Linked DNA regions of Ovis aries. The protein of the gene in region 1 purifies or fractionates together with the protein of each later gene. This does not show direct contact. Links are inferred from orthologs where the notes say so. Each region holds a gene or a part of one and is shown on either strand. Other genes may lie near its edges. The genes, in order: USP4, CTNNB1 and EDC3.

Region 1 (2,852 bases):
CGCATGGATGACCTCGTTCTTTGAACCCACGCAGCGTGATAGGGAAGCAGAGGGCCCACGCACGCACGGAGGGGACAGCAACAATGGCCGTAAGCCCCGGGGAAAGGGTGGGGAAATCAGACCACAGGGGTCGTGGCCGAGGCCGAGGGGCGGGGATCTCACTTCTAACCAAAGTCCCCGGCAGAACGGGAGCCCTTTCCAAGCCCAGGAAAGCTCCTATTCCGAAGCCAACCCGGAGAGAGACGGCTGCGGGAGACCTGGCGCCCAGCAGTGTCGTGTCCTGATATTTAAGTGAGACCTAGTACAAGTGCCAGACCATATCCAACAGTCTCAATTCATCAAGGATGCTGGGAACAGAACAGAACTGCCAGGCTCCACAGAAGACTGAAGGGCAGGAAGCCTACCACCAAGCATCATTAGGGAGAAGGAAGCTGGCAATTCAAGGTGACTCAAAGGGAAACAGAAAGGGGCATCAGTGGCTACTTTTTTGGTATTATAAACCTATCTCGGTGCACAGTAAGGGAAAAGGGGACGACATCAAGTTTACTTGAGGTTGATTTACTGTGGGTAGACCACTGGGAGGACCAGTAACCAGCACCAGAATCCGAAATCCAGGAGGGCAGGGCGGCCCCCCACTCCATGACAGTGTGTTCCTCTCCACTCTTTGGAATCCGCCACTCTCCACTGTGTGCTCCCCACCGCCAACCCCAACTCTGGAGCTCTACCTGTTTTACAGAAAATTTTTACCACCTGTACAAAAAAAAATAATTCAGCCTCTTGACATAACCCTTCTGAGCAAACAGGGTCTTTTTTTTTTTTTTTTTCTTCTGCTCATAAAAGGAAATTTCCTCATCTGGTTTTTAGACGGCACACTAGCAGTCTTCAGTGTCAAAGGTGTTCTCCTGGGGGGTGGCACTGGTGCTGTGGTGCAGGGGCACTGGGCAGGTCAGTTGGTGTCCATGCTGTAAGTCTCGTCATCCCCCGTGCCCTGCTGTGAGCTGCTTGGTCTTGCACTGCCATCAGAAGAGCCAGGAAAACTGAGTGACGGTGTCTTATGAAACTCATCGTCTCGACGCTGGTAAAACAGCACATAAGCTGCTTTCGTCTAAAACACACGAGGCACAACATCCATTCACAGGTTGGAACGATCACCCATTCCCCGCAAGCTTTGGTCTCTATTCAAAACACACCACCCTCAGGGATCCGCTGTCCTGCGCATCCACACACTGAAGTGATGGTGAAAGCCGTACCACCTAAGGCTGGCTCATGCTGACCATGCCCAGGGTGCCGGGAAAGGTAGGAGCCCTGTGACAGACTCGGGAGAGTCAAGTGTCTCATTTTAGGAAGGGTCCCGGAAGGAACGATAGTCAATTCTTTCTCTACCGCACTTAGTTCCCACTGTCCCAGCAGGATGACTCAATAACCAACTAGCCTGGGGGACTCTTCCCAGCTCTAATCCCTAAAGGTAAGAGTTGGAACCAGGTATGAGGGCCTACTCACCACTATCTGATCCTCACAGGCCAGGGACACATTGCTATCATCAAAGTAATACCACTTCCCGTTCAGTTTGTTCTTCGCGTACGCAGTGTCTGCCAAGGGAAGAGAATATGCTAGCTGGTCATCAAGAGAGGTGATCTGGCTAGCTCAGTAGGCTGGCACTCAACAACTCCAAAACATGACACATATCCAGAGTCTGAAATTAAAGGTAATTTACAGCTTGTGTCCTAACAACCAAAAGAGAACTCATCCGTAAAAAAAAGTAAGATCTTCCCTTCTCAAAAAGGCACTTAAAAGGGTAAAAATGGAGCTGCTGGGGACTAAGCCTTTATACTGTAACTTTGGGGAAAACAGCCATGAGCACTAATTCAGAGTTAGGGGACCCATAAAAGGAGCTGATACTTTTTAAGATTTAAGCAAAACAATAGCTGTCAAAAACATGCCAAGTCAAACACCCCTACTGTATCCAGGACTGACAGTCTACTATTGTCTCTCACTGCCTCTGGAGCCTGTGGGGTTATCCCAGTGAGAGACACACTGGGGGCTTGGGTTGGCAGAGTTGGGATGTGAACAAGAAAACTTAAATTTATCTGTCTTTGAAACTCTTGAGTCAAGAATCTGTGGCTCAGTAACAATTCCTCACACCCGTCCAAGTATTTTCCAGAGTGAACACTTCCGGTTTTGATTTTACACTTTCTGAGCAAGATGTGTTCACAACAGTCTCAGCAGTGATACCCGATTCCTGCTTCACTCAGACTCTCGGAAACGACTCAGTCTGATGGAGATCCGGTTTCTGGTCTCGACCTGCTGTGTGGCTCTGGCAGGCTGTTTAACTATTCTTCACTGCAGTGTTTACTGCACCAAGCGGTGGTGAAGGACACAGGACAAAGTGACAGAGAAGGTGCCAAGGGGCTGACCCTGCTGTCCATGCTTGGCGGAACAGCAACAAAGATGGCTCTCAATCACGGTGTTCCAATTGTGGACCCAGTGTGGGTCTGCACACAACCAGCCTAACCTGGATAAGGAAACTGAAGCATAAGGAAGCTAAGTAACCTGCCCAAGCAGTACGTCTGTATGCTAAAATAATTAAAAATGAATACAGGGGTCCAGTATGAATGAATACAGATATCAAAATTAATTTGCAGAGAAAGAAAAGTTAGAGAAGAGTAAGTGCTATAGGATGTGGTATGATCACAGGTATTGCAAGTAGCCACTCTAGAAGAGTCCCAGTTTTTAGACAGGCACAATTTTTCTTTCCCACCTGTTTCTACAGCTAGTTGGTAGTCCTGTGACCAAGTTATAGCCAATGAGACGTATGTAGAGCAATTGAGCGGGATTTCTGGGAAGTCTACTTA
Region 2 (3,655 bases), about 37 Mb from region 1:
TTGAGTGTCACTTTGTGAAAGTGGCCTCTTGTCAGCACTAATTCCAAACAGCACCTCCAAAACTGCACAGCCAAGTACAGCTTCAATGTACCTCTGACTCCCAAAGATCACTCTTCCCAATAAGGCGCCCAGCACTCTGGGAAGAGGGAAGAAAGGAGTAAATGTGCAGGCACTGTGTCAGTGTTGCCCTTCAGGTGCTCCCTCGATTTTTGTACACCTATGTGTACCTGGTGAAAATTTAGCAAAGTTTTACCACCTACTGCTAAAAGTCTACTGAGTTGGCAGGAGAAAATCCACTCACCTCCTCCAAGACTTTTCAACTGATAGCCTATATGGGATAACGAAGTTAGCTTTTGCAAAACATAACTACAGTCTGCTTTCCCTCTTTCTGAGTTTTAAAAAAGGTTATAACTTTGCTACTGCTAATTTGCAGCTTTTATATCCAACTTTACTTTTATTATGACACAAAAGCTCCTTTCTTCCCAGAGAAGAGATTTTAAAAGGTACCCTTTGCATTCTGTTAAGCTACCTCATGGAGACCGGCCGATATCCAAAGTACTGAGTGGAGAAAGCCCAAGTGCCCTATGAGTGCATTCTAATCACAACTAGCGACATCTCAAGATCTATTCTGGAAAGTCTTGTTCTCTAACGTGATCAAGTAAGAGACTCTGAGTCTTAAAACACATGCTGGGGAATCATAAATCTTTACTTAATAATGAAGCTACTTTTAAGACTGAAAACTTGACATCAACGTTTCAGACTATTAGAAACAAAAATTTCAGGCTAAGATTACAAGTAAAGATCCCTGAAACACCATGACTTATTCTTGTTGATATTCTTGTAAGTCCATGGAAATAGTTTAAACCACTCTTGGAAGACAGTAAAAAATGTGTTAAATATTTATAGTTATCTACAAACAATAAATGCCGGAATCTTCCTACACAGTTTGTGGAAACATAAATTGATACAACCATTATGGAGACGAGTATGGAGATTCATTTTAAAAATATGAATATTACTACCGTTATGACCCAGGAATCCCACTACTGGGCATATACCCTGAAAAAACCATAATTCAAAAGGACACTTGTATCCCAATGTTCATAGAAGCACTATTTACAACAGCCTGGACATGCAAGCAACCTAGATGTCCATCAATAGATGAATGGATAAAACAGCTGTGGTAGACATATACGGTGAAACAGGAGCCTTGAAAAGGAACGAAACTGAATCAGCTGTAGTGAGGTGGATGAACCTAGGGTCTGTCATACAGAGTGAAAGAAGTCAGAAAGAGAAAAACATCGTAGATTAATGCATATATAGAATCTACATGATGAACGTCTCTGCAGAGCAAGAACAGAGGTAGAGAAGAACTGGTGGACCTAACGGGAAGGAGAAGGTGGGATGAACTGAGAAAGTAGCACTGACATATATACGCTACCACATGTAAAACAGCTCACTAGTGGGAGGATGCCTGAATACCCCAGGGAGCTCAGCCTGAGGGGTGGGGGTGGGGGGGCTCAAGAGGGAGGGGATGTAGGTAAACTCACAGCTGATCCATGCTACTGGACAGCGGAAATCACCACAACATGGTACAGAAGTTACACTCCCATTAAAAATAAACTTTTAACAATATATGTTTATAGGTAGAACTGCAGTGGGGAATAACAGGCTCCGAAATCAGACAGACTTGGATTCAAATTAATGCCTCTGCTACTTTGGACAGAGGTGAACCTTTTGTATGGACAAGATGAGACCCCATAGGAGTAAATCACACCCCACACTCCCTTTGTAAGATTGAGGAGGCAGCGATGTGAAGGATATGTCAAGGGAACTATCACCAGGGGCCATATTCCTCCTTTCATTCTCCGCAGCCACAGAGACATGGTGGTTCTTTAAGCCAATAGCAAGCAGCCCTTCAGGAAGCTGGAGAATGGAGGAAGCCAATGACCAAAGTAGTTCAGGAGCCTATGGATTTACGCATTCCTTTTAAAAGGCCAGGGGTCACTACTAAGATTGACCTACCACAAACTGCTGCTGTGTTCCACCCATAGATGTACGACGCTGGGTATCCTGATGTGCACGAACCAGCAACTGAACTAGTCGTGGAATGGCACCCTGCTCACGCAAAGGCGCGTGATTTGCTGGACAAAGGGCAAGGTTTCGAATCAACCCAACAGTAGCCTGCAGGTAAGAAGAAAGAGTGGAGAACTGGCATACAACAAAGTCATGTTTAGTCTAAAACGCCTACCACACTAAATCCATCCCTATCACCTGGATGAAACGGACGACACAAACACTTTAAACCCCTACCCTCATCCCACCCGTATTTCCTGGTTGCAGCTCCTCATCAGCCAGCCCCCAGCGCCGAGACAGGCTGCTAGTAATAGTCAGAAGTTGTCTGTTTTCAATTCTGCAACCTTCAACTTTGACAGTTTACCTTGATCAGAGGCCAGTGGGATGGTGGATGTAGGAGTTTAACCACCACAGGTAGTCCGTAGTGAAGGCGAACAGCGTTCTGGGCCATCTCAGCCTCCTGGTGCCGGCTGGTCAGATGACGAAGGGCACAGATGGCAGGCTCAGTGATGTCTTCCCTGTCCCCAGCACGGAGGACCGTGCGCACAAGGGCCTCTATGCCACCCACTTGGCACACCATCATCTTGTTCTTATAATTATTGCAAGTGAGATTAGAAAGAATTCCAGCTGCACAGGTGACCACATTGATATCATCTGAGCCTAGAAGCTGAACAAGAGTCCCAAGAAGACCTTCCATCCCTTCCTGTGGAGATGAAAACGGACACTAAGTACACATTCAGCTTGACATTTACCAATCTACTCTGAATGTACCTGTTTAGTTGCAGCATCTGAAAGATTCCTTAGAGTCCGAAAGTACCTGTTTAGTTGCAGCATCTGAAAGATTCCTTAGAGTCCAAAGGCAGTTCTGAACAAGGCGCTGACTTGGATCTGTCAGGTGAAGTCCTAAAGCTTGCATTCCACCTAAAAACATTAAAAAACATCTAAGGTGATGGCCATTAGCTCACAATTCCTATCAGTACTAAGTGTGTACTTTAGTCTCAGAGGATATCCTTCTTTGTTGCCAAAGCTTATCCCCTCCATCTAAGTCCTTTATTTTCTTTCATTTTCTGGAATGCTGCTCTGTTTCCCTCTCTTTTCTAATTCACCTCAGTTAGGGACAACTTGTTTTATGTATCTATTGTTTCTTCCCTGTGTGGAAAAGCCTTCACTATCTCCAGTCTCCCTGTAGGTAATACTCCTATTACTTATTTCCTTTCATCCAGTCATTTCAGGAATATTTAATACCAGGCCCTGTTTTGCACTGGAGCTGTGTCAGGGAGGCAAACAGTCTAAAAGTCATACCTTCATAGAGCTTGTGGTCTAGCTGGAAGCACAAAATAAACAAATACACTATTAGAAAGCTAAAACTATATGTCAAATGGTGTTAAGTGTACAAACAACAAAGACAAAGGAGGGGGCTATAGTTTAAAGTAGGGTAACCAGGATACCTGACTATGAAGGTGCCATCCGAGCAAATCCCTGAAGGAGTTCATGTAAACTCACAGGGTGGAAACACAGTCTAAAAAGACAGCACCAGAATGCTTACTCTCGGGGGCTGTATTAAAGGCAAAAGATGCTC
Region 3 (3,655 bases), on another chromosome or scaffold:
CTTCAAGACTTGTGCCTTGAAGCCGGAGCAGAGACAAAATCACTTGTGGGAGAAACTGCTCAGCAAGATAACTGCGTGCTCACTCTGTTTCCAGCACAGACCCTGCCTGACAAAAGGACTTCAATTTCACTCCTTATCACTGCTGAGAACAAAGAGAAAAACCAGACAGATGACGCTACAGGACGTCTTCTCCCCTCAATGTCGACGCTCCAGTGAAATCCAACTGGCTGCGACACACCACAAGCCGCCATACCTGAGTTCTTGGCCAACGTCTAGCACATGTGCTTTGCAGTATGTCTGTTAATCACAATTGTGATTTAAAAATATAAGAGGAGGGAACTTTCATTTCTTTCATTAAATTAAACAAAGTATGAAGACTAAGCTGGGAAAATGAAGTACATAGTAAGAAAAAGTTCCCACGTCTCCTGTTGTCTACCTTGGCAAATGTTTTTTTTAGGTTCTTTTGGATCTGAGAATCTTTCCTGATTTTTGCAGCTACTGTCTCCCTTTTAGCCACTTCACTCTGAGGCAGGCCATAATCTCCCCAAGCTTAGGAACCTCCAGGAAGTCACATACAGCATGAGCCAACCACCTCAGCTTCCAGAGAGTTACCAGTAGAAGCAGCTTATTTTTTCACTGAGGGCAGTAAAAAGGAGAGCAGTCAAAAGTGGATGGGTGGCAGGATCTAAGTATACTGCTAGCCTGCTGAATGAAGTTATTTGCCTTAACATGGGTGGTTAAAAAAAAAGAAAAAATTAAAGGAATCCATCAAGTCACACTGCTGGTATCACTTAAGTAATCTACGTTAGCAAAGAGGCATGCCTATCAGAGTCTGAAAGGTTAAGAAAAACTACTAATTTCTATCTTTTACTGACAATCTGCTTATTTTCTTTTCACATGGAACCTTTTACACCCAGCAAAACCAAATACAACAGAGCCCCACTGATGTCTACAAAAATGCCACACCGTATCTGATTTTCCCCAAAATGAAATTATGCTGTCTCCATAAATCTCCCGTAACTGCTACTAGCTTTCAAGCTACTGCTACCCTATTTTCAAGACTTCAAGCCAAAATGATTATTATCCTTATTAAAATGAACATGATTCCCCCTTTAGCTCCCAAATCACTCAATAACGATAGTTTCTATTTGTATTCCAAGAAGCCAAGTTAATAAGTTTGGGCGGAAGGGACAGAGACAGGGATGACACAGACCACCTGTCCCACAGCTGCCTCAAAGGCCACATTTGAAGAAAAGTTTCTTATGCTAAAAGAGAGATAAAGACTTTAAAATTACTGAGCTAACAGACACAGTGACCTATACATAACTACCAAGGTACCAAGTATAGGTACTACTACAAGATTACTGTCATTGAACTTTATGACTAGCTCCTTAATGACCAGGGCCAGCAGGAGATGAGGACAGTATAGTACACAAAGGTAATTTATGGAAACCCTACTTTTAGCCAATGGTTTCAACCACTCAGCTCTGACCATTTCTTACCCCAGCAAACAACCAGCGCAACAGCTGAAATTCTGGTAAAATCTACAGGCAGTAATAGGAAAGCCAAAGTGAAAACAGATCTAACTATGTATGTCAAGCTAAAGAGTTAGCCTCTATGCCTTTAGTTGTTAACCATAACCTACTTAATAAACAGCAGACCAGATCCTGCCAGGCACAGGATATAAATGGGTGTGTAGAAAAATCAGCCCCCATCCCAATCGAGCAGTAAGCAGGATGATAAATTGGCCACAATCTCTAAAAGACGATATAATGGGCCAATGACCATGCCACTTAAGCCACTTCCTACTACAAGGCTCTGACTCAGAATCTGCATCTCTCTGATTCAAGCACCAAAAAAAAGTGGGGCGGGGGTGAGGAATAGCCAGTGGGGTGTGCGGTTAACGTACCTGTGCAGAACTCCTTGCTCACACTGTGGGGCACTGTGATCCGACGGTAGACAATGGGCTCTGACTCCAGGATGTTCTCATCGTGGCGGTACCGAGCAGGCCTCTCGTTTGGGATGCCCCGGGAACGGGTACCGCTTCTCCTCTCATAGGTATCAATTTCCTCAAACACAGCTGCCTTGTCAAAAAGGGCCAAGTTCCCTTCAAAATCAAAATCTGTGTCTGGGATCTCCTCAATATCATCCCCAAAACACTCATCATCTTTATTCTTCATCTGGCCATTCTTTAAGCCACTTTTCTTTGGAGTTGCCTGGTTTGGGTGCCTGCTACTAGATGACCCTGCAGAAAAAAAACAGGGACTAAAGTCAGTATGCTCACACAAAGTGCTCCGTGGGGAACACAAATTACCACAAATCTCATGGAATAGTAGATTTCATAAAGTACCCAAGTAACAGTGAATATGAAATACACAGTACTCCTGAAAATCTGAAGTTCTGCCCTTCATAAAGGAATTGGTAATGATCAAGGCTTTTTTGACAACTGACTATATCAAAAAAGTGGAGGGCAAGAATACAGCAGTCTCTCCACACAAGTCCAGGTGGTCTGATTCTGAATGTCCAGCCATTGATTAAGAGAGAAATAACCAGAGTAAAAGAAGGCCAAGTCCTCGTAACTTGAAGTTCAAAGAAAGATTCTGGCCAACTGGCTCTGAATCCCATGCTTACCAAGCAAGCCATTTTCTGATTTTTTAACTCAGTCTCAGGCTAGACCTCAGCAGGAAGGGAATCCCTGGGTTTAGACAGATTACAGATCTTGAGACGGATATACATCTGTCACTATAAGTTGATGTATTTTGACTTACAGGCCTGTGTTTAGATCTTCTGGTGACCTCTTTTCTTAAAATTTTATCACTCTGGGTTAGCAATTTCTGAACCATCAAATGATGACAAGGACCATACTGACGTAATCCTGTAGAGGCCATACCAAGGTGCATATCAACACCACAGCACTCAAGTCACTCTCTGTCTCTGAGACTCTATCTGGCCACCACATGTCAGTCAACTACTCCTCCAGCAGCAAAGACCCCACAGAATTCTCCAAACCACACCATCCCAGAGAATCCTGAACTGAATTTATAGTTTGATCCCCATCTGACCACCCCAAAAGGATGAACCAGGTGACTGGTATGCCAAATGGAACCTTCAACATAGTCTGAATAAACATAATGTACTTCCTTTTGTAAGACTGAGCTCCTCAATTTTTAAAACACTCAAGTAGAGGTTAGGATGATCATGAGCAAACCCCCTCATACAGATCATCCCAACTATACTGCTCTAACTTCTCACAGCAACTCCCTTCTATCCAGTGGACCATGAGTCAGGAGACCTAGGACCTAGTTTCAGTTCCGTTATTAACATGTTATATAATCTTATATCTATCATTCAACTTCTCAATTTCCTTGTATGCAAAATGCTCACTGTGGTACCCCTAACAGGGTTTCTAGTACACAGCAGTCCGTCAATAAATATTTAACGAATAAATCCACATCAGCAAGATTAATTACAATTATTCTGCAAGATGTATACTATGCATATGTAACTCATGTCTAAATCTTCCTGGTGCCAAATATTGATATGGAAAAGGGCTATGCTGGCAGTAAAGATGAGATTTAGGCCTCAGAGAAAAATCGAAGGCTGACCAAAATTATAAAAGGAAGGAAGAGTTGGCTGAGTCACCATAAAAAGCTGA

What was found.
Region 2: the proteins of USP4 (region 1) and CTNNB1 purify together in Homo sapiens (affinity purification with western blotting; 3 studies listed by BioGRID). This does not show direct contact. The link is inferred for Ovis aries from reciprocal best matches to the Homo sapiens genes USP4 and CTNNB1.
Region 3: the proteins of USP4 (region 1) and EDC3 purify together in Homo sapiens (co-immunoprecipitation; 3 studies listed by BioGRID and IntAct, with this or other methods). This does not show direct contact. The link is inferred for Ovis aries from reciprocal best matches to the Homo sapiens genes USP4 and EDC3.

What each region holds. Positions count from the first base shown.
Region 1 is NC_056072.1:50,848,523-50,851,374, reverse strand, and holds the end of USP4 (ubiquitin carboxyl-terminal hydrolase 4), read right to left. Parts: intron 1,590-2,852; coding exon 1,501-1,589; intron 1,106-1,500; coding exon 947-1,105; 3' UTR 543-946; downstream 1-542.
Region 2 is NC_056072.1:13,860,814-13,864,468, reverse strand, and holds part of CTNNB1 (catenin beta-1), read right to left. Parts: intron 2,998-3,655; coding exon 2,894-2,997; intron 2,780-2,893; coding exon 2,441-2,779; intron 2,185-2,440; coding exon 2,026-2,184; intron 1-2,025. UniProt on the Homo sapiens protein: Key downstream component of the canonical Wnt signaling pathway.
Region 3 is NC_056071.1:31,688,192-31,691,846, reverse strand, and holds part of EDC3 (enhancer of mRNA-decapping protein 3), read right to left. Parts: intron 2,246-3,655; coding exon 1,910-2,245; intron 1-1,909. UniProt on the Homo sapiens protein: Binds single-stranded RNA. Involved in the process of mRNA degradation and in the positive regulation of mRNA decapping. May play a role in spermiogenesis and oogenesis.